Mus musculus: one gene and its partners. The protein of the gene in region 1 interacts with the protein of each later gene in a biochemical or structural test. Links are inferred from orthologs where the notes say so. Each region holds a gene or a part of one and is shown in the gene's direction. Other genes may lie near its edges.

The links.
Region 2: the proteins of Ube2d2a (region 1) and Marchf5 form a complex in vitro, tested with the Homo sapiens proteins (7 studies listed by BioGRID). The link is inferred for Mus musculus from reciprocal best matches to the Homo sapiens genes UBE2D2 and MARCHF5.
Region 3: the proteins of Ube2d2a (region 1) and Birc2 form a complex in vitro, tested with the Homo sapiens proteins (9 studies listed by BioGRID, with this or other methods). The link is inferred for Mus musculus from reciprocal best matches to the Homo sapiens genes UBE2D2 and BIRC2.
Region 4: the proteins of Ube2d2a (region 1) and Nedd4l form a complex in vitro, tested with the Homo sapiens proteins (11 studies listed by BioGRID, with this or other methods). The link is inferred for Mus musculus from reciprocal best matches to the Homo sapiens genes UBE2D2 and NEDD4L.
Region 5: the proteins of Ube2d2a (region 1) and Cnot4 form a complex in vitro, tested with the Homo sapiens proteins (5 studies listed by BioGRID, with this or other methods). The link is inferred for Mus musculus from reciprocal best matches to the Homo sapiens genes UBE2D2 and CNOT4.
Region 6: the proteins of Ube2d2a (region 1) and Rchy1 form a complex in vitro, tested with the Homo sapiens proteins (9 studies listed by BioGRID and IntAct, with this or other methods). The link is inferred for Mus musculus from reciprocal best matches to the Homo sapiens genes UBE2D2 and RCHY1.
Region 7: the proteins of Ube2d2a (region 1) and Amfr form a complex in vitro, tested with the Homo sapiens proteins (3 studies listed by BioGRID). The link is inferred for Mus musculus from reciprocal best matches to the Homo sapiens genes UBE2D2 and AMFR.

The regions. Positions count from the first base shown.
Region 1 is NC_000084.6:35,799,059-35,802,558, forward strand, and holds part of Ube2d2a (ubiquitin-conjugating enzyme E2 D2), read left to right. Parts: intron 1-782; coding exon 783-814; intron 815-893; coding exon 894-971; intron 972-1,051; coding exon 1,052-1,157; intron 1,158-2,215; coding exon 2,216-2,309; intron 2,310-3,500.
Region 2 is NC_000085.6:37,206,271-37,210,344, forward strand, and holds the start of Marchf5 (E3 ubiquitin-protein ligase MARCHF5), read left to right. Parts: upstream 1-1,274; 5' UTR 1,275-1,599; coding exon 1,600-1,634; intron 1,635-4,074. UniProt on the Homo sapiens protein: Mitochondrial E3 ubiquitin-protein ligase that plays a crucial role in the control of mitochondrial morphology by acting as a positive regulator of mitochondrial fission and as an important regulator of immune response.
Region 3 is NC_000075.6:7,820,058-7,823,557, reverse strand, and holds part of Birc2 (baculoviral IAP repeat-containing protein 2), read left to right. Parts: intron 1-2,338; coding exon 2,339-2,584; intron 2,585-3,500. UniProt on the Homo sapiens protein: Multi-functional protein which regulates not only caspases and apoptosis, but also modulates inflammatory signaling and immunity, mitogenic kinase signaling, and cell proliferation, as well as cell invasion and metastasis.
Region 4 is NC_000084.6:64,886,256-64,890,555, forward strand, and holds the start of Nedd4l (E3 ubiquitin-protein ligase NEDD4-like), read left to right. Parts: upstream 1-1,500; 5' UTR 1,501-1,792; coding exon 1,793-1,840; exon of another isoform or gene 1,841-2,748; coding exon of another isoform or gene 2,749-2,757; exon of another isoform or gene 2,758-2,854; intron 2,855-4,300. UniProt on the Homo sapiens protein: E3 ubiquitin-protein ligase that mediates the polyubiquitination of lysine and cysteine residues on target proteins and is thereby implicated in the regulation of various signaling pathways including autophagy, innate immunity or DNA repair.
Region 5 is NC_000072.6:35,130,938-35,135,068, reverse strand, and holds the start of Cnot4 (CCR4-NOT transcription complex subunit 4), read left to right. Parts: upstream 1-1,331; 5' UTR 1,332-1,567; intron 1,568-4,131. UniProt on the Homo sapiens protein: Has E3 ubiquitin ligase activity, promoting ubiquitination and degradation of target proteins. Involved in activation of the JAK/STAT pathway. Catalyzes ubiquitination of methylated RBM15.
Region 6 is NC_000071.6:91,960,269-91,964,503, reverse strand, and holds the start of Rchy1 (RING finger and CHY zinc finger domain-containing protein 1), read left to right. Parts: upstream 1-1,435; 5' UTR 1,436-1,784; coding exon 1,785-1,874; intron 1,875-1,947; exon of another isoform or gene 1,948-2,017; intron 2,018-3,438; exon of another isoform or gene 3,439-3,799; intron 3,800-4,235. UniProt on the Homo sapiens protein: E3 ubiquitin-protein ligase that mediates ubiquitination of target proteins, including p53/TP53, TP73, HDAC1 and CDKN1B. Mediates ubiquitination and degradation of p53/TP53; preferentially acts on tetrameric p53/TP53.
Region 7 is NC_000074.6:94,009,841-94,014,001, reverse strand, and holds the start of Amfr (E3 ubiquitin-protein ligase AMFR), read left to right. Parts: upstream 1-1,361; 5' UTR 1,362-1,540; coding exon 1,541-1,783; intron 1,784-1,873; exon of another isoform or gene 1,874-1,973; coding exon of another isoform or gene 1,974-1,994; intron 1,995-4,161. UniProt on the Homo sapiens protein: E3 ubiquitin-protein ligase that mediates the polyubiquitination of lysine and cysteine residues on target proteins, such as CD3D, CYP3A4, CFTR, INSIG1, SOAT2/ACAT2 and APOB for proteasomal degradation.

The DNA.
Region 1 (3,500 bases):
TGCTTTTATAGGTAGTTACTTTATTGAGTACTTTGAAATTATCGCTATAGCTTATGAACAAATTTGTGTTTTGTGTGTTTGTATTTTAAAGTAAGGTTGAGGATCCAGCCCAGAGTAACATATGCCAGGCAAATGCTTCATGTCCCCCCAGCTCTGTATTGAAGGATATACTGGAAACTCTAAAAACCCACAAGAGATCATAATTTATTTTCATTACTTATTTGGAGGCAGCTTGGACTGGTCTGGCATTCACTCACTCTGTAGTCAAAGAGATCCTTCTACCTCTGCCTCCCAAGTACTAAGATTAAATGTAAATGTCACGGTGTCTTGCTTACATTTTGTTGTTGGTTTTTTGGTTTTGTTTTGTTGTTGTTGTTGTTGTTTGTTTGTTTTGTTTTTTGTTTTTTTGAGACAGGGTTTCTCTGTGTAGCCCTGGCTGTCCTGGAACTCATTCTGTAGACCAGGCTGGCCTCAGAAATCTACCTACCTCTGCCTCCCAAGTGCTGGGATTAAAGGCAGTCACTGCCACACCCTGCTCACTTGTCTGTCTGTCTGTCTCACTCTGTCTCTGTCTATCTGGTTTTTTTCCTTCCTTCCTTCCTTTTTCTTTTAATGGTTTGGACTCAATTGGTTTAGTCTTCATCCTGCCCATTGAAACTAGTCGTTATCATGCTATTTATAAATAAACTTTGATTAGATATAGGAAATGATAGGTTTCTCTATCGTAGGTGTAATGTGAATATTGTTAATTAACATGGTGACCCTTTTTTCTTCTTTTTCAGTGTTTCATTGGCAGGCTACAATAATGGGGCCAGTAAGTATTCACTTTAATTCCTTAATAATTGTTTCAAGTAATTTATCCATTTTTAATATCACTTTTTTATCATCAACAGAATGACAGCCCCTATCAGGGTGGAGTATTTTTCTTGACAATTCATTTCCCAACAGATTACCCCTTCAAACCGCCTAAGGTAAATGGTATATGATCATTGCTCTTAAGATGCTCTGTATGGTACTGGTAAACAAATCACAAAGATTTCTTTTTCTTCAGGTTGCATTTACAACAAGAATTTATCACCCAAATATTAACAGTAATGGCAGCATTTGTCTTGATATTCTACGGTCACAGTGGTCTCCAGCACTAACTATTTCAAAAGGTAATGGAATGGTTGTTTGATAACAAGGTGAAATAACTGATTTTGTGCAGGGTATGGAGGAGCACACCTTTAATACCAGCACTGTGGAGGCAAAGGCAAGCAGATCTCTGAGTGCCAGCACTGTATAGTGAGACCCTGTCTCAAAGGGGAAAGTAACTGCTCTTTGTTACTGTTCTCTGTTGGCTTAACTTTTTAAGATTATCTGGGGCTTTTTTGTTTTTGCTTTTGTTTTGTTTTGTTTAAAAGAAAATGAATGATGTGATTGTTTGATTTTTATCTGTTTGTTTTAAGACAGGGTCTTACTCTGTAGTTCAGGATGGCCTTAGCATCTACAGTGCTGGGATTACAAGTGTGAGCTACTGTACCTGGTTAAAACTTATTTTATTTTTGAGACAATCTCCTATATCCCAGACTATCTTCTTTTTTTCTTTTTTTTTTTAAGACAGGGTTTTTCTGTGTAGCCCTGGCTGTCCTGGAACTCACTTTGTAGACCAGGCTGGCCTCGAACTCAGAAATCCGCCTGCCTCTGCCTCCCGAGTGCTGGGACTAAAGGTGTGCGCCACCACGCCTGGCCCCAGATTATCCTTGAAGTTTCTGTATGACTGATTGTGTCAGACAACTACTCTTGTCTGTTGGAAATTTGACAGCTGATTTTCTCTGAATATGAGCCTCTAAAAATTGAGGTTCGCTAGTGCTGATGTGTATTCTCAATCTAGGATTTAGAAGAGCTGTTTTGTTCTTCAGAGCAGAACCTCATGCACATTATGCAAGCTTTCCACCACTAAGCTACCTGCATTCATAATTCTATATTCTTATCTCAGGTTGGCATATCAGGTTGGGTTTTTGGTGGTGATTTGTTTGTTTTCCTCTTGGAAACAGGGTCTTACTGTACCACTGTGGCTGGCCTTGAATTCGCAGATATCCACCTTTTCCCCTGCCTCTGCCTCCTGAGTGCTTCCATTAAAGACCATGCCCAGCTTCTGATGTTTAAGCCTTTTGCTGTGGTCTTCTACTAACCTATACTTTTTTCTTTTTCTTTTTTTTTTTTACTATCCCAGTACTTTTGTCCATCTGTTCTCTGTTGTGTGATCCCAATCCAGATGATCCTTTAGTGCCTGAGATTGCTCGGATCTACAAAACAGATAGAGAAAAGTAAGTATCACCTCCAGATAAAAAAACATTCAGGCATGGGATAGAGCTGCCTTACAACTTGTTACTTATAGAGTTAAATATAGACTAAAAGTTTAAGATAAACTCTCTGAGGGGTACATGAAACAGGTTTCTATATCATATATTATAAACAGATGATACTAATCTCATATATATAGTTGTCTAATGTAACTTCTACTAAAAACCTTTCTTGCAGTACTTTTCGAGACAGGGTTTCTCTGTGTAGCCCTGGCTGTCCTGGAACTCACTTTGTAGACCAGGCTGGCCTCGAACTCAGAAATCCACCTGCCTCTGCCTCCCGAGTGCTGGAATCAAAGGCATGTGCCACCACGCCCAGCTTCTCCTTACAGTACTTATTAATACCTTTGTGTCTTGTTTGGTTTTAGACTTGTGAATTATTGTACATCAGGTTCTCATTTATTTATCTTACATATAGTTTGGTAAATTAATGAGAAAGATAATTGACCTTACTACCATTTGGCATAAAGGTGCCAAATCTTTTAAAAACAAGTTTTGATGTAGAATTAGGCATTTAGAACTGTATACTGTATGACTTACTCAAGAATGATCATGATATCAAGTGACTTCGAGGTCTAGTCATTTTTGCTTTTGTGTCTTACTTGATGAGATTAAGACGGGACTATATAGAATATGGGGGGCTGCCCCCCTTAAAGATTTATTTATTTATTTATGAGTACGCTGTAGCTGTTTCACATCAGAAGAGGCCATTGGATCCTATTATAAATGGTTGTGAGCCACCATGTGGTTGCTGGGATTTGAACTTAGGACCTCTGGAAGAACAGTCACAGCTCTTAACCATTTAGCCATCTCTCTAACCCTGCTGTTTTGAGACAGCATTTCTTGTGTAGCTCAGGCTGGCCTGGAACTGAAAGATCCTTCTGCCTCTGCCTCTCAATGCTGGGATTAAAGGCACATGCTGGTGATGGCACAGGACTTTAATCCCAGCACTTAGGAGGGAGGAGAAGGCAGACTTTTGAGTTCAAAGACAGCTGAGGCTATGTGGAGAAACCCTGTCTTGAACACCTCTTACCCCAGGAAAAGGGCACATGCCACTATACCTTTCCCACCATACATAACTAGATTTTGAGTTAAAAACATAAAAGACTAGCTGAATGTGGTAGCCAGCACCTTTGATTCCAGCTCTTGTGAAGT
Region 2 (4,074 bases), on another chromosome or scaffold:
GTCAAACTAATTAGAGTTAGAGGTTGACCTTGAACTCCTAATCCTTCTGCCTCCTCCTCTCCTGTGCTGGGGTTACGGGATTGGACGCCTACCATATCCTTGATTAATTGATTGATTGATTATTTATTTATTTATTTATTTAGCCTAGGCTACTCTGGAATTCATTATACAGACCAGGTAATCCTTCTGTCTCAGTCTTCCAAGTCTGGAATTATAGGCCTGAGAAACCACTCCAGGCTCAAATTTAAAGAAACATTTTCATTTAAAGAAATAGCAAACGTTTTGTAGAAGTTTAAAAAAAAAAAACAAAAAACCAAAAAACCGTAGGCACAACCAACGGAAAACTAGCAAAACATCCCACCAATCACAGCGCTAAACAATGCCACAGGTCGTCCAAATTACGCATCGGTTTAAGTCAACAACAGCTCGTTTCCCCCCTCCAAAGCTATCCCTTCCGGCGTCAGAGAAGACAGAGGCGTGATTTGTCACTTCTTCCCTTTTTGATCCCTCGGCCGGGATCCACCTGCTTAGAAGTGTCAAGGAGCCTTAGGAATGGTTAACGGTGACCAGCTGCGGAAAGAAACAAACACTCCTGACAACCCACAGCTGAGCAAGCAAGGGCTGTTTATTCAGCAGCGTGTCCCCTTTGGAGGCTGCCCGCAAGCCCTCGAAGGCTGGGCGACAGCACCAGAACCGAGAAGGTTCCTGGACAGGCAAAGTGGTTGCTCGCGTCCCACCCCCCATGCTCTCCTATGTCCCCAACACACACACAGAGGCGCCGGTGCGAACAGTCGGGTTACCCACACGCCCCTCCAGAGCAGCCCCGCACTAAGCCACTTGTCCCTCCCCGAAGATGGGCTCTGACGCGGCCGAGGCTGACCCGAGCGCCCGGCCTCGCGCCGCCGCGGCCCGGCGTACTTGACCCGGCCCAGAAACTGGCCCTCCACGCCGCCACCCCTCACCTGGCTCTGTCCCACCTGAGCGCGAGAGCTGAGGGGACAAGACGCGGAGAAGGGGCGCTGACCTTGTTGCTACTGACAGCGGAGCGCCACATGCTGCCGCTTCCCGGACAGCGGCCCGAAGGACATTTTTTTTTCCCCCTGGAGGAAGGAAACGGGAGGGCGCCGGCCCGGCGGCGGCGGGCACGGCGGCGGGGGTCCCGGCGGGCTGTGCAGCCTCTAGCGGGGACGGTCCGAGGACTACATCTCCCAGGCTGCTCCGAGCCGCCCCTGCGTCGTGACCCCGGCGCGCACGGAGGCGGCGACTCTTACCTCACAGAGGTAGCTCCTCCGCCGGCAGCAGCTCGGCGCCCCGGCGGTCCATGGACCGGAACCCTGGGCGGACCGGCAGGAACCCGGGCCGCGACCGCCGCCTCCCGGCCCCAGGCTCCTCCTCCTCACTCCCCGCCGCCCTCTGCGGTCGCCCGCCGGCCGCGCAGCGCCACCGCGGGCCTCTGGGAGCCACGCCGGGAGGCTGTGTGGCGGGTCCGCGGCCGCCGCGGGACTGAGGCCTACTCCGCCGCCTCTCAGTGCTATTGTCCCGGGGCCTGGCCCTGAGCGGGGCTGCGGGCGAGGGCCGAGCTCGCCGGCTCCGCGGAAGATGCCGGACCAAGCCCTTCAACAGATGCTGGACAGGTAGGAGCAACGTGGGGCCGGGAACTGCCGGCCTTCGTCCTGGGCCTGCCCATGCTGGCCTCGAGGCCCCGAGAGCGGGGATCCTGGCGTCCGCCGAGAGTTCCACGGCCCGGAGGCCGGGAAAAGGGCTCTGAGTTTGGAGGTGGCACTGGGGAGAAGAGCGGGCGAGAGGTCAGGGTCGTAGACTTTGAAACTTAGTTAAAGGAGGGAGGTCTACTTTGGCCGCCAGCCTGTTTGGGTTTTTTTTTTTTGGTTGTTGTTTTGTTTTGTTTTTTGAGGTGAAGAGGCGCTATTGTTAACCCATAGTATTAGTTTCTATTTCTCCCCCTCCTCCCCGGACAATGTAGTAAAGGGGTTGACAGCGACGCCACTGGGAAGTACCCGATTGTCATTCTGGAGACTGGTCCCTTGCACTTTCACAATGCAAGGATAGGCATTCCTTCTTTTAAAGCCTGGGTTTCGTTTCTCTTTCCAACTCCCCCACCACCCTCCCCCAATCCCATCCCTACCCCCAAACCGTAAGGTCAGAATATCCACAAGGGAGCCTTAACGGTCGGTCACACTAGAGTAGAGGTTATGGAAAACAGCCACAAGCATGCAACATTGAACACGTAGCACACTTGACGATCGCTAAGTTCCCAGACACGTTTGGGCTTGTACTGGGACCAGTTGCCCATTCCTGGGGTCTCCAGCCACTAAAACTCTTTGAGAAAGTCTACAGCACTGCCCTCTGCCGTTTAAATTCCAGCCAGTGAGTTTTTGGAAACTAAATTAAATCCACCTTTTCACCAAGGCAGCTGCTTGCTGTTCTGACCAATTGGTCGATCTAATTCATAATGTTTGAGGTTGCTTGCAACTCTAAATAGACTAACTGGCCACCCACTTCAGCAGGTGATGCTCTCAATGCACTTAAGATTCAGCTTTGAAACTTATTAAATGAAGGCCCTCTCTTGATTGAGGTTATAGCCATTAACTACTGGGGCTGGGAGGTGGGCATCAAAGATCCATCAGGGAAGGCAAGAAGTTACACCCTCATATTTTATGACAGGATTTAGCCTAAATCTCTGGTACTTAGCAGCTATTCTGCTACAACTAATGAACTTGTCCGTTTCTCCAGTTGTCTAGAAGTCTGGTCACTTCTCAAGTTTTCCTTTCATTATAATTTATCATACTTGACTAGATGTGTCATACTAAGTATGCCCAGAGAGATTACTGCCTGCCACATCGATTCCAGTTATATGAGACGCAATCCTTGTATTGCGTAGTTAATCATTTGCTCTGATGACATCCCACTTTCACTTTTCCGTGACGACACTTAGAAAAATTCTTCTGTCTAGATGTTGTCTTGGCTTTTCATGTATTCTTCAGAGGTTTTCATAAAAGCCAGTGAGTGCTCATGAAACATTTACAGAAACTTGGGAATTCTGGCTATCCTTTTTAGAATGTACATAACTTAGTCGTTTCCTCTCCCATCACCCTAGCTCACCTCCATCCTCTACCTACCGTTTTCTTCCCAAGTCCTTTCCCATTCCGAGTCCCATCACCCCCTCGTTTCTGTGTGTGTGTGTGCGTGTGTGTGTGTGTGTGTGTGTTCCATTAAATTTAATTAGGATTGTTTGCATAAGCATGGGTCCAGGTTATTTACAAGAGCATGGGCGTGTTATTAGCACAACACTAAATTTACTCCCTCCTCCTCTAGTAGCAGTATCCAAAGTTCAGGGTAGGCCTGGAGTTTTGAGTCCCTCCTCTATCCCTGATGCAATAGTGTGTAGATCTTACACAGATAACCACAGGTACGGTAGGTGTGTAAGCACAAGGCCAGAAGACCAAATGCACAGCGCTCCTCGTCTCACAACTCTTACATTCTTTCTGCCCCCATCCAACTGTTCCTGCCTCTGCCATACTCTGTTTATCCAGTGCCATGCATGCTAGATAAACACTGGTACAACTGAACCACATTCCCATTCCTTACTTTAACACTGATAATGATTCTGGTATATGTAGCCCTACTTGTCTACTTACGCCCTCTACTGGTGTGTCTGAGGTCAGCTACTGTGTACTTATGTATAATACTAAATCTTTGGTCCGAAGCAAGTGGGGCCGACCAGAGCAAGCAGAGATCCTAAAAATTCAATTCCCAACAACCACATGAAGGCTCACAACCATCTGTATAGCTATAGTGTAAGCACATACATTAAATAAATAAATAAATCTTTAAAAAAAAAAGGACCTCTTGAACTTGGAAAGAAATTGTTGTGATGTCCTTTTTCTTCCTATAGCTATCCTTTACCATTAAGAAAACGGAGTCGGCTTTTTAAAAATTGGTTTCCTCAGTTGAAAATTGAATGGTCTGAGAATATGGCTCAGAACATTCTGCCTAGAATGTTTGTAATCCTGGCCTGAAGGGTAGGGGAACTATATATGAAAACACTAGCACTTT
Region 3 (3,500 bases), on another chromosome or scaffold:
CTACAATAGCTGTCTCAGCAAATATGTCAAAGCACTAGGTTTCCTCTGATTTCATTCTTCAGATGTTTTTCTCTGACCTTCCCCATCTCAGTTCATAACACCCAGTTACAGAACCAACTGGGCTATCTCCTGAGAAATGCTCTGCCTTCACAGCATGTCCTGATACTGTCTCTTAGTCCATGCTACCCTGGTCTATCTTGTAGACCAGTTGTTCCTGATCCCAAATCCATCTGTGCAGCATCACCAGTTACCTTTGGAATAGCTCTCTGCTTAAGTTCCTCCTACAATATTCTGGCAAACTTAGGGTGATGTGGACACTCCTCACAAAGCTGTATATACCATGACTACTGTCCCTGCCGTCTGCCACCATCTTTATTTCTTGACTGTGTTAAGCTCTTGTGCTGGTGAAGGCTAGTCTTGCTGTTCTCTTTCACATGTTCCTGTTGCTTACTTTATCGTTTCAGTTTTAGGGTTTTATTTATTTTTAAATGTTACTTTCTGGATGAGGTGTTGAGGATTAACATATTTTTGACCACATTTGCTCTCTACACACTTTTGTGTGTTGATTGTATGAGTTTCCAGTGGATGGCAGTAAAGTATCTTGGAAAAGTACAGCTGTAATGTCACAGAAGCACAGTATGAGCTTGCACTGACCCTGTTAGCAGAGAATGCTTCCATCCGTGTCCCTATGGCCTCCCATTTCCTGCATTTGTCACCTCGTATTTTCATCTTTAAAACCTCCATTCAGAATAACAGTAGTTTTGCTTATTTGTGTTTTTATTACATCTTTATGCTGCCCATCCTTGTTTTCTCTGCCTCACTTATATACCTGTTTAGACGTTATTCATCATTCAAGTCTGATACATATCCATTGGTATAACTCCAACCCAGGTGCTTCATGTGTGCTAGGCCCCACACCCACACCTCATCTTTTTATAGGGGTGGGGAAGAGATGTATGCATGCTTGCTAGAGTGGAAGACAAGCCCTCCACCTAGGCCACACCCCCATTTTTAATTCAGTGTATTCTAAGCATTCTGCCAAGGTTGTACCCCCATCTTAACCTTCTTCCCTACTGTTTGCTGGTTTTTGAAGTGGTAGCTTATTTAGATCTTGCTTATGAGTGTCAGGGAAGCTTTGTCTTTGCTGTCACATGTCCAGTTCCTACTGAGCTTTATATTTGCCCTCCTTTCCTGCTGGAAGGTAATTTCTCATAGCTGTATTTTTGTGGTACATTGATTTTAAAAAATGAATGTATATTAAACTCTTTTGGGGAGATACTTTAAAATTTTTTCATGTGTGTGTGTTTGTGTGTGTGTGTGTGTGTGTGTGTCTGTGTGTGTATGTACATGAGAGAGAGACACACACACAGATATAAAGACATGGAGACACAATTATTTTAGGAGTCAGTCCTTTCCTGTGGGTTTCAGGAATTAAATTTGGGTGGACTTGTGCAGCAAACACTTAGCCATGAGCCATCTTGCCTACCTGATTTTTGAGGAAAAACTATAGTGTATGTGTGGGTGCACACGCTACAATGTGTGGATAGAGGTTAAGAGTGCACCCTTGGGCACTGGAGAGATGCTCAGCAGTTGTTTCTTTTTTCTTTTTTTGGTTTTTCAAGACAGGGTTTCTCTGTGTAGCCCTGGTTATCCTGGAACTCACTTTGTAGACCAGGCTGGCCTCGAACTCAGAAATCTGCCTGCCTCTGCCTCCCGAGTGCTGGGATTAAAGGCGTGCGCCACCACGCCCGGCTAGATGCTTAGCAGTTTTGAGTACTGGGTGCTCTTCCAGTGGGCCTAGGCTCAATGCCCAACACCTACAGCAGCTCACAGCTGCCTGTGGCTCCAGTTCTAGGGCAGCTGACACCTTCACACAGACAAATGCAACCAAAACCCAGTGCCATAAAAGCAAATAAACTATTTTCTTAAAAAAAGAGGGCAACTTTACGAATTAGTTCTCCCCCCCCTCCCCCACCCCCCATGGATTCTGTGAATTGAACTTAGGCTGTCAGGCTTGGCAGTAAGTACCTTTACCACTGAGCCATCCCAACAATACTGTTGGAGTTTTTTTGTTGTTGTTTTGTTTTTTAACAATCAGACTCCTAAGCAAATTGCCAAGAGATTTTTATTTTAAGTTTATATCTAGGATGTATATACTGTAGGTAGGTAGTAATTTTTAGATACATAGTACACTATCCAAAGTTCAAATTGTATTGAAGTTAATTTAATTGATGCACATGATATGTCTCCCTTACCAGGATATGAAAAATAAAGGTGCCACAGGCATTACTTTCCATAGTTTAAATTTGTGGAGTTTAATATTAGCAAATTTTTTTAGAGACAGTGGTGCATTTTGGCCCTGGAGAAAGTTCGGAAGATGTCGTCATGATGAGCACGCCTGTGGTTAAAGCAGCCTTGGAAATGGGCTTCAGTAGGAGCCTGGTGAGACAGACGGTTCAGCGGCAGATCCTGGCCACTGGTGAGAACTACAGGACCGTCAATGATATTGTCTCAGTACTTTTGAATGCTGAAGATGAGAGAAGAGAAGAGGAGAAGGAAAGACAGACTGAAGAGATGGCATCAGGTATCCACGTTGGTGGCCACAGGTTTTCAATTACGTGTTGCATGCAGCATCATTAACACCCTCTGCCCCTGGGCATTTCTAAACTATCTCTTTTTGCCAAGCTCAGGCTAACCTCAAATTCAGTCTGTAGCTAGTGCTGTACTAGAACTCCCCTGAGGTTCCTGCCCCCACCTCCAAAGTGCTGGGGTTATACATATATGCCACCATACACAGATTTACAATAAACTATTTTTGAGGTATATTTCATTTCTTTATACATAGCTAAAACTGAAAAAAAGCATGACTTAAGGGACTGGAGGTCATCTCAGTGGTTAAGAGCTTTGGCTGCTCTTGTAAAGGACCTGAGTTTGGTTCCTATTGCCTAAGTAGAGTCCAGTGTCTCACAACCACCTATTACTCTAGTTCCTGAGGATCTGACCCCCTCTGAAGACCCCACCAAGGGGGGAAAATATTAAAAAAGAGATAGGACTAGTTCACTACAGCCTTATTATATGACCGTATCACAAAACGTTTAAAATTCTAACTTCTGGATTGAAACAGACTTATGTTTCAATTCTGCCCTCTGAAGTGAGGTAATTTCTTATGAATAAGCTGGATTCATTTTTAAAAACTATAAATTTAGATTTAAAAAAGGATAAAGCAGGCTATGTGCTATGTGTGAGGTATTGTACAACATGGTTTATGTGCATTTTGTTTAACTCTTTGAGGAAGATGCTATTATTCATACTTCAGATCAGGAAACTGAGGTGTACATAGCAGGGGGACACATGGCTATTAAGTGGCTAGACTTGCCTGGGAGCCAGGCAGAGTCCATCGTGACATGAAGCTTACACTCTTGAGTGCTGTAGTTCTGTAGAATGCATGGAGTCTGAGAAGGAATATTGCTCTAGGCTGAAGATGTAGCTTGATTGATGGG
Region 4 (4,300 bases), about 29 Mb from region 1:
TAAACCTTCTCCGCCATACTTAGGAGCAATCCTCTCTCTCTCCTCCAGTTCCTCCCTCCCTCCCGCCTCGGTCTCTGTCTCCCTCCTTCCCCAGCTCCTAAGCACTGTGTGGTCTTAATGGCTTTTGAATTCCATCTTAGGCTTCCGAGCAGAGTGTTGATTCCATTGTGGCTGACTTCGAAGGAAAGTCACTACTTTGGGACACATTGCAATGGAGGAAAGAGAGTTGGGGGCTGGTGCAACATCCTTCTTTTTGATTTGCAGGTGCACAGCAGGTACTTGGTCATTAAGCTGGGACAGACAAGCTGAATCAGTTGATTTTTAACCACCCAGACAGTACTAGACACTCTGGTGCTTTCTATTTAAAGGCAAACAAAATGTTCTTCCTGTTTTCATTTCTAATTTACCACCGCACTCAACATTTAAATTTAAGGAACAAACGGCCTTCCTTTTTGTTTTTTTTTTTTTTTGAGACAGTGTCTTTCTTTACAGCTATGGTTGTCCTGAATTTACCATGCAGACCTAGCTGTTCCTCGAACTCACAAAGATCTTGTCTCTGCCTCCCCCGTGCTGGAATTAAAGGCACGGGCCACCACGCCCAGCTCCAAGGAAAAGACTTCTAGGAGTGGCAAATTTCTCTTATTTAAAGTAGCCTCCTGCGTTCCTGAACATCGAAGGATTAAATGAAGGGCTTGCTAGAGAAACTCCCTATCTGGAACGTGGGAAGATTCCTACGGTGGCTAATAAGACATCTCCATCGTTTGCATATGTAAAGGACAAACTTAAACTGGAATTTGGTATTTCACGTTGTGCCTCACAAAAAATGAGCTTTTATCAAAGAACTAGGCAGCCGGGTTTCAAGTGGGTGGGTGTGTACTCAGCGCGGGCGCGGAGTTGGTTTTGTTCCCAGTAGAGTTGACTCCAGCAATGGCGACTCACGGCCACACCGGGGCAGCCTCTCCTAGGCTGGCCGCCCAGCCAGGAAAATCTCTTGGGCGAGCTGAAGCTGTTAGCCAAGTCTGGCCTGCCATAGCTGCCAAGAATTTAAAGGGGGTCTAGAAACAAGCATCGTCGCTCTCTTTTAGAGCTCCTGGAGACTCTGGATAGGAAGAGAAAAAAAAGAGAGAGATAAAAACGGACATAGTGGCTTTGTTGTTGTTTCACGGGGTCTTCATGGTCCCCCAAGGTCCAGTTCACCGGGTCCCAAGGCAGAGAGAAGCCGGGCAAGAGGAGGGTCAGCCCGGCAGGCCCAGCCCGCCAGGGCGCGCCCCAGCTCAGTGCTCTGTGCCGGGTGACCCAGGAGGCGCGGGGGTGGGGTGGGCGTGGGGCGAAACACCACCACCCCCGCGGCCCGCCCCCCAGCCCGGCCTGTGATTGGCTTGGGGGGCGCAAGTGCCCGCCCCGGCGAGCGGGAGGGTCCCCGTGGGCGCCGGGCGGCGCAGGCGGGGCGGGGAGAGCCGGCCGGGCGGAGCAGGCGAGGGGCGGGCGCGCGGGTCCCGGGGATCGCCGAGCGGGCTTGGGGAGGCCGGGAGAGCCATCGGCGGGGGCGGGAGCCCGGCGGGCTCAGCGCAGAGCAGGGAGAGCTCCGGGCCAGTCGCCGTTCGGCGCGCTCTCGGGAGCCGCCAGTCCGCGCGTCCCCGCAGCCTTCCGGGAGGAAGCGGCGCCGCGGCCGGGTGCAGCCTCACCTGCCGGCCCTTCCCCGCCGGGCGGCGCAGAAGGACAGAGGGTCGCGGCTCCGCGACGCACTTCAGCCAGTCGCAGCGTCCAGGACCCTGCGCGGGGCGCCGGCTCCATGGCGACCGGGCTTGGGGAGCCTGTCTACGGACTTTCGGAAGAGGAGGTGAGTTCCTGCCCAGAGCGCTGTGCGGAGGGGACGGGGCCCACTCCACTGTGAGCGTCCCCTGCCAGCCGGGGCTCCAAGATTCCGGGTGACCCCGAGCGGTCCCGGGCGGTGGGTGGCTGGTTCTCCCTCTTCACCCCGGAGGTGCGCTTCTCCGGCCTGGGCTCTCGGGGTGGGCAGAGGCCGCGTGCGCCGCTGCCCCGCGAGTCTCTTTCCTCCGCAAGCTGCGTCTCTCGAGGCTGTTGGGCAACTTTTCTGGACCACGATCCTGCAGCCCGGAGTCCGTGACGTGTGTCACGTCTAGGTAGCCGCAGGGGTCTTTGCGTAGTGCAGGGGATCTGGGGGCTGCCGAGGAACCTAGTGGTGTCTCCTCCCCCTGGGACTTTTCTTGCTAATGGGCGCTCGGTAGCGGATGTGTGCAGATCCCGGCGAGAGCGAGGGACACCCGGAGAGTTGCGTGCGGCCGCTCCTGGGTCTTGCAAAGTCTGGAGCTAGGATTGTGCGTTCCAGAGTCTCCTATTTTGGTGTGTGGAGGTGATCTAGGGAGGAGGCAGGTGCTGCAGGAAACTTAGGGGAAGCTTGCAGCCCTGCCATTTCTCTCCAGTCCAGAGAATTCAAAGCCCGGCATCTCTGGGGTGGGTGGAGAGAAGAAAGCTCCATTGATCTCCTTTATTAATAAACGAATGAAATAAGCCACACCCCCCAAACGGTTGGTTTGACTGGAGAGGGCTTTGTTTTTAAAAGCCTCACTCGCTCATCGCGGTCCCCACTCCCCCTTTTGAAACGATCCTGCTAAATCACTGTTCAGCCCTCACTCGACCAGCCATTCTCGACTCTTATTGGTGTGTTGCTCTGCCAAAAAGGGGGGTGGGAGGCCTGTCGCGGGCGCGGAGTGACAGGCAGGCTGCATGGAGCAGGTAGGAGTGGTTCGCCATCTGGCGGGGTGCGCGCCCAGGTCTGGCTCCCCTTTCGAGAGGTGAATTTACAACCCATGAAGCATTACTCAGCAGGGAGGTATTTCCTATCCTGGTTGCGCATTTCATGAAAAGTGGATGTCTGGAAATTTGGGCTTTCTCGATTTCTCTTTCTTACCCTCCCTCCTTTCTTTCTGAGGTTCCCTCTTTCTCTGGTGATGGGGGTGGGGTTTAAAGAGAGTCTATTATCTGAGACAGGCTCACGTTATGGCTTTGCTTTCGCAGCTTCCCTAGTGGTATGGTGTGTGTGTGTGTGTGTGTGTATTCTACCTAAGTGTGGAATGAAATTGGTATTTTGTGGAAGGCAGGGCGTGTAGGGGTTGATTTTATCTTTTGATAGAGCTAGATAGGCTTACTGGGCTGCTTGTGATCAAAGAATGATCACAATGCGAGTAATGTGTGATGTGTTTTTGATTATTTGCCATGGTTGTGTAGAATAAATTTTGTGTGTGTGTGTGTGTGTGTGTGTGTGTGTGCAGTTACCTGGAGATGGGTGAAAGTAGAATTGTTTTGTTTACCTAGGGGATTCGCCTCCTAGCTCCTTATCTGGTGCTGGAGGGGCAGTCAGATCTCTTGGAGGTGCTGAGATTCTGACGTTCTTAAACAAAGGGCTTCCTGGGTGAGGTATCAAGGGAGATGAAGACAGCTGTGTTTCATCTTAGGGTCTCTTTAATTTTTTAAAAATAACGTGATTATTTTTAAAGGCTCCTTGAAAGAAATATTTTGAGACTGTTTTGGAAAATGCATCTGCATAAAGGAATCTTTTCTGTCATGGTCCGTCCCGGCTTTGTTTATGATGGAAGCCGGTGTCAGAATCCACCTCAGGGCACATCTTGCCACTTTCGCCTTGGAGAATCACTGTTGATCTTGACTGGTGTGGGGTGTGAAAAAACGAAGAGCACAGACACCAAACCGAGTGTGTGGAGTGTGTGGGGGCTTGCCTGTGACGCTTCCCTCCTGCCTGTTACCAGAGGGACTGACTGTACAGGGAAGATCAAGGAGTGAGGAAGACACAATTTATCTGTGTCTTGCTTTGCTACTAATGGTTCTGTTTAGTTACACACATCATATATGACACAAAAATAAGCCTCACCTACCTTTTTCATTTTTCTCTTACCAATAGAAAAATAAATGCCTCCATATTTTTACGGTATCTGTTTGGTATGGGAGGTCTCTCTCTCTCTCTCTCTCTCTCTCTCTCTCTCTGTTCAGGGGTCCCTTTGAAGACAGACAGAATGCCTTTGTATAATATTAATATCAAATTATTACATGTAATTGGTTTGTCGTGTCTCCAGAATTAGTCTGTAAGCAAACAAATGGGCATCATTACCAGGCTCTGGAAGTGGACTGCCCAGGCACCTCAGGCTTGTCAAGTTGTGTTAGATAGGGTATACCAGTGGGCTGCAAGTATGTCATGAAGGTGTTTGTTTAGCTGCAGAGAGGAATCCACTTGTAAACCTCTCGGCAAGTGGAGGGTACCCAGGAG
Region 5 (4,131 bases), on another chromosome or scaffold:
TCTGGTTGCCTTTTTTGTGGTTTTTTTTTTTTTTTTTCTGCCTCTAGACATGGTTTGTAGACCAAGCTGGCCTTGAACTCAAAGAGATACACCTGCCTCTGCTTTCAGAGTCCTGGCTTGTGTCACCACGTCCAGCGAGACTGAGACTTTAAAACTTCAATTTCTTTCCTTACATTTCCCTTTTCTGTTTTAAATCCTCCCCTTAAACCTTTTGCTTTCAGGCCTCAAGTGTGCCAGACTAGCGCCCTACCACTGTGTGACATCCACAGTCCCATCCTACGTATTTTAATCCTGGATTTGAAAACTTGGTTCCTTTCACTTCTCCAAACCCCACTACATGCACACACCCTAGAATGGGGACAGATTTGTGTTTTTGGTCTCTGTTGTATGCTCCCAGCATATGGCACTGAACTGGGTACCAAGGAGCTCAGCACTTATATGAATAGATGAAGAATATAGGCAATAAACAGAATCGACCGCTCCAGGAGCGCCACTTACACCAGAGTTCTGGGAGGCAACCCGGGAAGTTCAGTAAATTGATTTTGTTATTTAGAATTTCTCGGTGCTCGAACCGGCTGCGGTTGTATTATGTCCTTTGAGACGTGTTTACTTGTGCAGTTTGCGAACCTGACGCACACTTCTGTGCAGGCTGGAAGAGTTCTGTGCAGCCAGCAACAGTTTGCAGGTAAGTCCACATGCTTTCACATCATCAGCAACTCATGCTACTCTGACTGCCCGCGTTCTCTTGAGAAATGTGCACATGGCAATTCAGGTATTTCTTCACTGGCGATTTTCCAGTAAGGAGGATGAGCTCAGCTGTACTGGTGGTAAAGGACGTGCAAAGACCGGGAAACGAATTAACGCTCACTTTTCCAAAAGTATCAACTCCCCACTCTAGATCAAATCCCGCGCTCTTGCAATGCTCAACCTGATTCTACCACCATACCGCCCCCGTCAGATACCTATCTATGGCGGGCGGGGCAGAAAAAGACACGTCCTAGCTTCCTCCGAATCAGTTAAGTTTCGTAGAATTTTGGTTTCCTACATTTCAGCTAACATTAGTGAAAACCGCCGACCACATGACACAGTAGCCACACACGCGGGCAGAAGAGGAAGCAAAACAAGAAGAAAGCCGGCGCTCCAGTAGCCACGTGAGGAACGAGTTCCCGAGCGCCTTCTCTAGTGATGACTTCAATTCCCGGCCTGCCCCGGGGCGGTTACTATCGGAGGACTACAACTCCCAGGGTGCAGTGGACCAGTCCGCCGCAACCTCCCACTCGCCCGCCTGCCGCTTGTCCCGCCCCTCCCCCGCCCCGCCCAGCCGGATCGGCATGCGCCTGCGCAGCGGAGGCCGGAGGAGTCTTACCCTAATGTAAGATGGTGGCCCGTCTAGCCGTGGAACCCACCGAAAGCTGAGAGTCTCTCTCTCAGCCGTAAAGGTCGGACTCACTGAAGCAGTCAGGCCCGGTTCTGAAGAGTTTTTTCGCCGACTCTCGTTCATTGGTCTCCTGTGAGGACTCGGCAACGCGTGGAGTCGGCTAAGAGAAAAGCGAGGCAAGGCAGGCGGGTGAGTGTCTGCGGGGCTGGGCTTAGGGGAAACCCGGCGCTGACCGGCTACGAGAGAGCGGAGGCTTCGCTGGGACTGTGCAGGCCGCACCCCCCTTTCTCCCCACCCCCCCACCCCCGCCCGCCTCGTCTTCACCCTCCTCCTCCTCCTCTGGCTGCCTCCTCCTCCTCTTCTTCCTCCCTCTCCCCTCTACGCCACAGCAGTTATCACCAGGAAAAGGCAGCCGGGTTGGAGGCAGCGCGGCAGCGAGCGCCGGCTCTCCTTGGAGAATTTCTTCAATTGAGAACCCAAGAGGGCTTCTCATCACCAGTTTTCCCCGCATTTTTCTGGCAACAGTATCCTTAGGTCTTGGTCCTCCTGTTTCCCCAGCCTCCTTTCCCCTCTGACGTCCTTTCCTACTGGCCCCGGTCTCCCAAGCCAGAGCCATCATTTCCACTCTGACGGGTGCTGCTGCTCACTGCCCACCCGTCCTGCTTGGTGGGCTTTTTTGCCCCTTTTTGCCCCATCCCTTCCAGAAAGGCTGCTCTGGATCTAGCCTCTGCTCCCCTCTGGTGCTTGCAGTCAGCCCCCAGTCTGTCTGCCAGACCCGAGTTGATTCCGATGTGCAAGTCTCCTTTAACCGCATCTGTCATCTTAAAGCCACCTCGTGAGTATCTAAATCATGTTGCTGCTCCGTTGCTCCGTATAACCCACCTGTTTCTTAACCTACTTGAGAATTGTCGGTTCCTTCCCTCTTTCCAATGCAGACTCTTTGAGCACACACTCCAGGATAGGGGAGATGATGCCCCGTGTTGTTCCTTGAAAAGTAAAGGAAGTTAGGAAGTGAATGAAGTGAGTGGGAGACTATTAACGTTAAGAGAAAAGAGCTTTCTTCGGGCTACTCGGGAAAGGAATGTTTTGCTTTTTTGATCTTTTTGTTGCTCATTTGCTATCCTTTTTTACCCCTCTTTTCATTTTCGACCTTCTCCGTGCTACTCAGCATTCTCCTGAATTGCCATTCCTCAGGACACTTGATGTTGTCTCTGATTATACCCATAAAGATCAGCTTAGAATTTCAAAACCAGGTGAATCTAGCGCGCACACACACACTTCATCCCCGAACACCACATGCAAATAAATACAGATGGTATTTTGATTGTATGTGGGTTACAGATTCCTTTTGTATCAATTATTGGCTCCGTTATATTGATGTTTATGTTAATTGATAACATTTATTTGTGATGGGTGCAAATTTGACTTTTCCCCCCTCTCTTTTGATCTGGGAAATTCCCTCTTTTGACATTTCTAGGATAGGAGTTATCAGAATAAGTTGTATGGAAAAACACATTGGGTATGTATGAAGAGAAGTTGATATTTTGGGGTAAACTTAAATTCCTTTTTTTCCCATAGAAACTATGGGGGCTGAGAAAAGAAGTCACAAAGCTGAGCATACGCATGCTTCAATGGCACTTAGCTGTTATTACCTGTAGTAAGTAAGAGCTAGAAACTGAAGAGCAAGGGGTGGCTTATGGTCTCTACAGTAGAGTGAAAGCAGAATTGAAATGCACTAGTTTGTGTAATCAGGAGTTAGAGTATTTGCTATAATACACCACAGTGACATAAAGAATTACCAGAACAGCAAATAAGATTATATAGGTCAGATAAACACATGTCAAGTTTGAACATAAGACATTGTGTTCTTAATATATATATAAAAATATTTAAAGTCACAATAACAGTCTCATAATGAAGTATGTCGCTTATTGGGGGGAAATAGTAACAACTTAAGTGTAAATACAAACGCAGTTCTTCTAGTTACTTTCACACATTACTGTTATTGTAAATCTTACATATTTCACCTATAAAGCTTGACTATTCTTATATTTGATGTTATATTAAGTTGCTGTGAAAAGTTTTTAAAAATGTAAACTAAGGTTAGAAAAGCTGCTCATAAAGCTTCCTCTCCTTCCTCCTCTTCCTCCTCCTCCTCCCCCTCGGCTGTCTGTCTGTCTGTCTTTCTTTCGTTCGTTCTTTCTTTTGTTCTTTCTCTCTTTCCTTTTTTTTTTTAAGACAGGGTCTTTATGTAGCTCTGACTGACCAGCAATGTAGATCAGGCTAGCCTTGAACTTGAAGACAGTCACCTGACTCTTCATCTTGTCACTCATGGTCAAAGCTCTTTATTTCAGCCACTTAAGCCCCAATTTGGCAAAATGGAATAAATCCCTATTCTTCTAAAAAATTGGAAGCATTTTATATAAGCATCCATTGTTTTTAGTTATACCTTGAAGTTAAAAAGAAAATAATACTTTTCGTTTAGTTTACCAATAACTTGTCTTTAACTCCAAGTAAAAAGTAGATACTGGTGGAAAAGCTTGCCACTTTGAACAATCTTGTCTAGATACTCTTGGCAGTCATACTTGGCTGAATTGTAAGCAGTATGTTCTAAGGAGAATGTCTGATAGAAGGGGATGAGTGATTTTTTTTTAATGCATCTTTTCTTTTGTAAAGCTATTTGGCTCACTAAATATCGTAAATAATTTCTCTTCTTCCTCTGGGGTCATCAAATTCTTGCTTCTAGCATAGAG
Region 6 (4,235 bases), on another chromosome or scaffold:
AGGTCTATAAATGCCTTATGAACTCATGCGGAGAACAGCTGGCACGTCTACGGTTCTGGAGCTACAATTACTTTGACATATACAGGAGGCAATAATCAGACTTCTCAACATTTCTAAGCTAGTTCAATATTGTTTTGGGACATGGTAGCACATAGGTTCTTTTTATTTCCCTGCCTAGTAAAGTAACTAGATCTTTCCCTAGTAATAACAGTGCTTCACAAAAGCTGCGAACATCCTAAGTATGCTTATTAAATCCTATTAGACCCTTCCTAGGGTGTCACAGGAATGGCTAAACACTAAATTAGAATCCTCAAACTCACACAGCTAAATAATCCTTGATCTGAACATGTAGTTTACAGTGAACCACTCCACCTCATCTATTTCTAAAAAGAAGGTATGGGTATTTGAACAGAGCCCTCAGTTAGATGATGATCGACATATGAACAGTAGAGACCGTAACACAGTTAGAATGCAAACATTAGCAAAGACGAGCCTGACAATTTGTGCGTGGGGGTATTTTATTTTTGGTGGGGGTGCTATCTGGTCTTTCATTCCTTGGCACTTGAAACTTGCACATTATAAAGGGACCATTGTCAGTTCAAATTTAACAAGGTTATTTTAAAAAGACTGGGAACAAAAGCTTGTAACTGCAGACTCTGGTAGAATCATTTTTAGTAAAAAGTTAAAAGTATCTGGCTTGAGTACAGCAAAGTCTTACACATGAAATGTCAGTCCTTTTAACTTGGAATTTGGTAAACAGCGAGAGGCACATCCAATGGCCGAGCAACCTTTCACCATGTTTTTAGCAACTCCTAACACAACTGGAAGAGAATTAAAACGAGTTAGTAACTCCAGGGCTAAGCTAAAGGCATCTCCTCCCGGACAATTGCCTCCCTTCTCCCAGATCCCAACACCTGAAGTTTTGCTGATAAAATGCTCTAAGTCTTGGTATTTTGTAAGAGTGGACATAAAGTTATGCACCTTGAGGTCTGAGATTCAAACTCTGCAGGCTTCTTTATTTCTCTCATGTTCTTACGGGCCAGATTTTTCTCTCCCACAGGTCTGGTACACACTAACTCCTGCTGGCGTACTGTTTGCCATTCAACTTTCAGCTCGAGCGTCTCCTTCCCCAGGGACACCACACAGGACTGTCCTTCCAGTGTGGAAGTTGTGACCTCATCTAATGCCGTGGCGTTCTCCCCCTCCCCATTTGTGAGTTCCACGGGGGCGTGGCGTGGCTACTTGTTTTTCACTTTGCGTTCTTAAGTCCTGGGTGGGTGACAGCACAATATTTTCTAAAGGGGGCGCAGGGAAAAAAGGAGACCGGGACAGCCGCCGGCACTCGGACCTGCGCGCGCAGCCGCCGAGCCCCGCCCCCTTTCGGAGCAGCCGCGGGAGGGGCCGCTCCTCACCGGCGCCGGCGGCTCGCAGCAGCGCCCGCCAGACGACGCAGCGGTCCCCTTCGCCCGCAATCAGGGCTGGCAGCGATGCCGGGGCGGGGAAAAAGAGCCAACCTAAGACTTACTACCATTAGCAGTGACGACAGCGACTAACGTGGACGACGGACTAAGCGTCTCACTTGGCTTCCACCCCTTACACCAGGGACCGGAAATCCGGATGCTGCAGATCACGTGATTGGACCCCCCCTTCCTGACTCTGGTGGCCGCTGCTCCGAGGAGGAGCGGGTGTCCGACCGACTCTGCTTCCTTAAGGCGTGGCTTCCAAGCTGGGGGAAAGGTTCAGTGGCTGGTGAGGGGGAGGTGGTGGAGGAGGAGGAGGAGGAGATGGCGGCGACGGCGCGGGAAGATGGCGTCCGCAACCTGGCGCAGGGGCCGCGGGGCTGCGAGCACTATGACAGAGCTTGTCTCCTCAAGGTGACGACTTTAGAGGGTACCTCCTCGATGAGCTGCGGTCGGGTCTGGCAAGGGCAGGTTGGGCAGAAGCTTCAGACCGAGCTGCTTGTCAGGATACCTGCCATCTGGAGTTGGGCTCTCCTTGCAGGAAACGTTTTGGCAAGGCGAGCAGGAGCTCTGTACTCGATCGCCGCTGCAAGCCAAGTTCTTGTTTGTAAAGACTTGGCCCTTGCTTAAATTCACCTCCCTTGTGGGTTTATCCGTCATTTGCGGTTGACAGTAGAATGAGGAAGTGAAAGGGCCTTGGCATTTCTGTCAAGTGCGTATGATGCAGTGATGAAAGCATAAGCAAGGGAAGAATCAGAATATAATTTCTGTACGTGTAGGAAGTTTATAGTATGGCTTGTCAGCTTCATTTTTTTGTCTAGGAATATGCCCAGACCTGTCCAGGAGAAAATGTCTGTGTGAAGTGAGAGTTGGGTGATTGCCATTAAGTTGGATATTGGAGGAGTGCCTAATACATATATGCTGTCATTTTTCCTGCTTGAGACGTTCTAGTCATCTAGAGTTTTTAAAAATGACTCTCACACAGTTAAGACTTACCTGATTTTTTTTTTTAAGAAGCAGTTTTAATATTTTGTTGAGAAAGCCTGAGATTTGAGCTGGGGTTATAACTCAGCCTTAGAATTGAGTTTATAATGCTGAAGGCCTTGGCTTCAGTCTTCAGAAGTCGCCTCCCACTGAGAAGAAACTTTGACTCTTGGAATCCTATAGCTTTCCCTTCATAGTTTAGATTGTCCTTAACTTGCTGTGTAATTTGGAGCAAGCTACTTTTTAAAGAGCTTGCATATAAAATATACAAGTTTGGAAGCTGGTCTTAGTGGTAAAGGCCTGTAGCTCCAGGAGATGCATACTTCCAGCTATTTGTGAAGCAGAGGCAGAAGGAATACCAGCCAGGAGATGCTAATGCAAATAAGAAAAAAAAAAAAAGGAGGTGGGGCTGGGGGTATATATAGGTCATTGCTAGAGTACTGGCCTCACCAGAGAGTCTCTAGGTTCAGCCTTCTCTGCCAACAGGGAAAGTCCCTCTTTTATAAACCATGTGATGATTGCATGCTAGAGTGCACATGTGGTGTTTTAAGAGGTGTGTCCCCAGAAATGACTAGGAGTATATATTAACTAGCACCCACAGTGGTCATCAACTCCTCCTTCGCCACCTTCACAATCAGCTCTGCTGGTCACTGACCTTATAAGTTAGGACTAAGTGATAGGCTTAGATCTGTAAGGCAACTTAAACCCTTTTCTGTAGGCCATGCCTGGTGAGCATTCATTGCATTGGATGAATTTTTTCAGACTGGTCAATTATCTAATGTTGTATAAAGAATTAAATATTCTTTTGGTTACATTTCTACTGAAATATTTTTACAGTTTCAAAGTGGTATGAAACTGAATTTAATACCTGGCCTTCCCCTTCCACCCCTGCAAAGAAATTGCACAACCAAATTTGTGTTTCACAACACTTAAAATCTTTTTCTCTGAGTGTCCAAGCATTGTTTTTCTGTTCCCTCTTCCTCTTTCTTAATAGGAGAGGCCAGCTGAGGTGTTTCAAGGAGTAAGTCATCTACTAGATCAAGTGTAGCTGTGCAAGCAAGATAAGGAGTGACAGCTGGCTTTTGCTTTGGCCAGGGGAAGGTCGCTGTTGATCTTGACAAGAAAAGTGCCAATGGAAGTATTCAGGGTAAAGCTTCCTTGGAGTGCTTACTGAAAATAGCATAGAGGATTTTTGGATTTTTATTGCCAAGGAGAGCAAAAATGTGGCTGTTTTGCTGAAAGCTGTGTTACAGCATGTTTCTGTACACTGGGAAATGATCCAACAGGGCATTTTGTAATGCAGCAAGAAAGGGGAGAACCATTGAGTAGTCACAGTGGGAAGACCCAGCATACGGGTAAGGCTGCTCTTAGCTGGCAAGCAGAGCACGGGGGTTTGCTTCTCCTGTGCTGTAATAAGCACCACAACCAAAAGTTACTTGGGGACCAAAGGGTCTATTGTTTGGCTTTGCTGTGACAGTTTGTTATTAGGGGAAAGCAAGGCAGGAGCTCCTGCAGGGCAGGTACTGGAGGTAGGAACTGAAGCTGAGGCCGAGGAGGAATGCTGCTTACTGCTGGCTTGCACTCCGGGGCTTGCTCATCTTTGTTCTCCTTCCTTCCGTTTGCCCTTCCTCCCTCCCTCCCTCCCTCCCTCCCTCCCTTTCTTGCACTAAAATTAATATTTACTAAATCTTAGCTCATACTTATAAACATTTTTAATAACTTGTTCTTCAGATAGAAAACTTAGCAAGCACTTTGGTTTTCTTGAAGAAAAGTTCTTAGCCAGCTAGTTGT
Region 7 (4,161 bases), on another chromosome or scaffold:
TATGGAAGTCCGAGGACAACTTGGGGGAGTTATGAGAATCAAACTCCAGTTTGTAGCAAATGGTTCATCTCACAAGCCATGTTGCAAATGACTGGGAACGAACCAAAGGGAACTATATTGTACAAAGACTCATGATGAGATGTTTTTAAGAATTATAACAGTGGTTAATTTTCAGATTTAAAAGATCTATAGAAATATTTGGCATGAAAAAATACTACAAAGACAATTTCTCCACATTAGAAAATTTGGAAAATTCAAAGCTGTTTACAGAGCTACATTCTGGGATAGGCACTAACACATGGCTCGGGGATATAATAATTAAAAACTGTACCCTATGTTATCTTATGTAATTCACATAGATATAACCTGCTGTTTATAGTGTACAATTCAGTGACTTTGAGTGTATTCATAGTTGTATAACAGCAACTTTAGAAATTCTCACTTCAGGAAACTAGTACCCCAACCTGTCACTTCTTTAGCTGTCACCTCCAGTTCTTTCAAACTCCCCTTCTACTCTACATTGCATGCATTTGTCTTATCAGCGTGGTCACACAGAATTTAGATATCTGTGTGTGGCTTGATTCAGACATCGTCAACATTCTCTGATATTGTAGCATTATCTGTACTTTATTTTCAAACGCTATAATTCGAGGTTTGCCTCTCTGGTTTTTAGGAGTAGTGCTACTGTCAGCCTCAATGTAGGGACTTTGTGTGGGTGTCTGTTTTCATTTCTCTTGGATGTTTACTTAACAAGCAGTGTAACTGCCAGGACGAAGGTCACCCTTTGGTTTACCTTTTAGGAACAGGTATTTTCCAAGAAACTAAGCAGCATTTGACATTCTTACTTGTAGCTAAGAGGGAACAGATTTTTATTTCTGGTTAAATTGGTTCCTCCGTTTTAAAAATATTCTATCTCAAGGCTTCTCTTATTTCCTAAGCATCATGTCGCTTCTTTAGGACACCAAGGAAGCCTCTAGTCTACAGGGTGGTGGGATGGCGGGTTTACCAGCTTTGGCGGGGAGGAACAAGCGACAAGTGGCCAGGGGCAGGGGTCCCGCACCCTCACCCTGCCGCCTGACCACGCACACAGGCCTGCCGTCATTGCCTACGGGCCAGGCTCACCCCAGAGCCCGGCTCGGGTGCGCTCGTGGCTTCAGTGGGCCCAGGGTCGCCAAGGATGCTGCAGGGGGCCGGGACGCGGGGCCCCAGGCCGGGTCCTGTGCTCTCGGGGTTGCAGAGCGCCGGCTGTGGGCGGGGGACGAAGGCCGCGCCCCCGCGCCCGTCCCGCCCGCGTCCCGCTAGGGGCGGCGGCCCGCCCCGAGTCCGCCGAGGCTCTTCCGCGCCGGCAGGGGCAGCAGCGGGAGCGGCGCGGGGCGGAGCGGCGCGAGCAGCTAGGAGCGGCCCGGCTCGGCCCGGCGCAGCGGCGGCGGCAGCGGCAGCGGCAGCGACGCCAGAGCCCGTGGGCGCCTTTCGCAAGGCCGCCGCAGGCGCCTGGCCGCAGCGCGGGAAGCCTCGGGGGCCGGAGCCCGTCGCTGCCGCCATGCCGCTGCTCTTCCTCGAGCGCTTCCCGTGGCCCAGCCTCCGCACCTACACGGGCCTCAGCGGCCTGGCCTTGCTGGGCACCATCGTCAGCGCCTACCGCGCCCTCAGTCAGCCGGAGGACGGCTCGGGTGAGCCGGAGCCGCTAACGGCCCCACTGCAGCCCGAGGCGCGCCTGACCGCCGGCGGCCCCCGGGCCCGCGACGTGGCCCAGTACCTGCTGTCGGACAGCCTGTTCGTGTGGGTGAGCGAGGCTGCGGGCCGGGCGCGGGGGCGGGCGGCCGGGCGGGAGCCGCCATGTCACCCATTATCCGCAGGGGGGCGTGGCCGGGCCCTGACCCCGGCCTCCTCGGCCCGGGGACCGCGGCCCTCGCGTGGGGCTCGAGGCCCAGCGGCGCTGCGAGCGTGGCGGGCCGCGGAGAGAAGGTGTCGGGATGCCGGGGAGAACAGTCGAGGCAAGGGCGGTCGGACCCGCGGGCTCCAGGGCGGCGGGGTGCGGCGACCCGAGGCTGTGAGAAGCCGCGACACGTCCGGTTTAGCTCGGCGTTGTTGGGGGCGGCTCGCCGACGAAGAGAAGGCCGAAGTTAGGGGGACATTTTACTCTTCGCCAGACAACTTCGAAATGGTGCTATTTGTCAATGCGTTAGTCCCGATGGGCGCTATTTAACGAAGCAAACAGACCAGCTACGTCCTTTTATCTCACCCCCAACCACCCCCCGCGATGGTTTGTGACTGTTCCCTTTTTGACAGAAAGCAGCAAAACACTTTCGGGTCGGTGTGGCAGCCCCTCCTTTGAACGCGATTCCTCCGTTTAGCGATCCATTTTGAAACAAGGGTTCTAGTTTGTCTGCCGGTGCGAGATAAGCAATGTCCACATGCCACAAGTACTGGCTTCGTTTGTTACATCATTTTAGGCTGGGCAGATCTGAGAAAATTTTGCTCTCACCTTGCACTTGAGTGCCTCTTCTATGAACCCTCAGAAATAGGAAAAGTTGCTCCCGGATTTAAAAAATTGTCACTTGGATTTCCTGTGGCTTGGTGGGGATCGTATCTCCCCACACGGCGCCTAGAGAAGGCTGTAAATGACTGAGGGGTTAATGTTATAAGTTTGTAGAACTATAATGCAACTCATTTGTTGTAATTATTCCCACTGTGCTTCATCAGGAAGCAGCGGGATTTGTGAACTTCGTGGGCTGCAGATGACGCCTCCTGGTCCTTTGGTGCATAGTTTCATAGAAGGCAGTGAAGGGCAAAGTTCCCCTTTCTCTACTCCTAAGAAAAGATGAACTGTTCGTCTTTAGGGTAAACAACTTAGAATTATTATGTTGGGAGTGCTTTTGACAAGGGTGAAGACTATAGTGTATGTAGTCGTTGATACCTTGTTTTAAGCTGGAACCATTATTCTATTACTAGAACAGCCAATAGTATTGTTTAATGTTTTTTTTTCGTAAGTTTCTTCTTGCAAAACCCACGTTCAAATTCCAAGGTTAATAACATTTCATAAAACATTAATCTAAGGCCTTCCCTTTGGCGTTTCTGAGAATTGTCATTTTAAAGAATGTTCTTTTTCTTTGCACAGTCTTACCTCATATAGATTGATCATTCCTTCCCCTCCTTTGAATCCTTATTTCTCAGTTGAGCTTTATTCGGTTTTCTTGCATGTCCTCTGGAGTTTTGGCACTCATGGTGTCTGCCCAGATCTATCTTGTGTGTGCTGTGAGTTTTGTTTATCGTTTAGTACTTACTTTGCGCAGCTATGCCTCACACTCTTTAAAAACCTCCCCTGTTCCTGGCAGGTAACACTGAGTGTCAGTGTGGTGGGCCTTTGTCAAAATGGATGCTTCTTGAGCCTCACTCATAGGCCTTAGACATTAAGGGGGGGAACCCCTTCCCCGCCTAAGAACAAAACATTGTCTGCCAATGCCAAGCAAGATTAACAAGAACCTGTCCTTTGTCATTGCCAGTCGGAAGTCTTACTAGTTATTGTTTTGTCAGACTCTCTAGAACTTGTCTTTGTAGAACACATGCAGTAGTCTCTCAGGAGGTTTGATATTAGCACAGGCAGATGAAAACCTTTCTGAGGAAGACTCAGCTACCAACAGCACTTCCCCCCTACCCTCAAATGACTCATATGTAAATGAGGCTACTTACAATAGGTGACAATAGAACACATGTGAAGTCCTGTGGGGTTTCCAGGTAGGAGAAAGGCTTGCTGTGTGGGACTGACTACAGCTTCTCTGACTTAAAGGGAGTTGAGAGGTTGGAAGGAGACCAGAGGTAAGAGGAGGTGGCCCTGCTGAGAGACAGGTGACAAGCCTTTGAGGCTCCTTCTCTTCAGGTGTGGCACTGAGGCTCACTTGTGGCTTATGACAGCCATCTTTGGCTTGTCACTCCTCCTGCCACATGCAGTGAGAAAAGTAGGTGGAATTTCAGAACTGGTTAGGTTGGTTCTAAACTTAAAACTTTAAAAGACAGATCCTGCAAGTTCATATTTCAAAGGTCAAAGTAAACAAAAGTGATAGACAGCGAAAGGAGGTCCCTGTTCCACCTGCATCCCATTCAGCTCCTTGTAGCTGGTGCTGGCCTTAAATGGGAACCTAAGAAACAGTCAGCCTCAAGTCC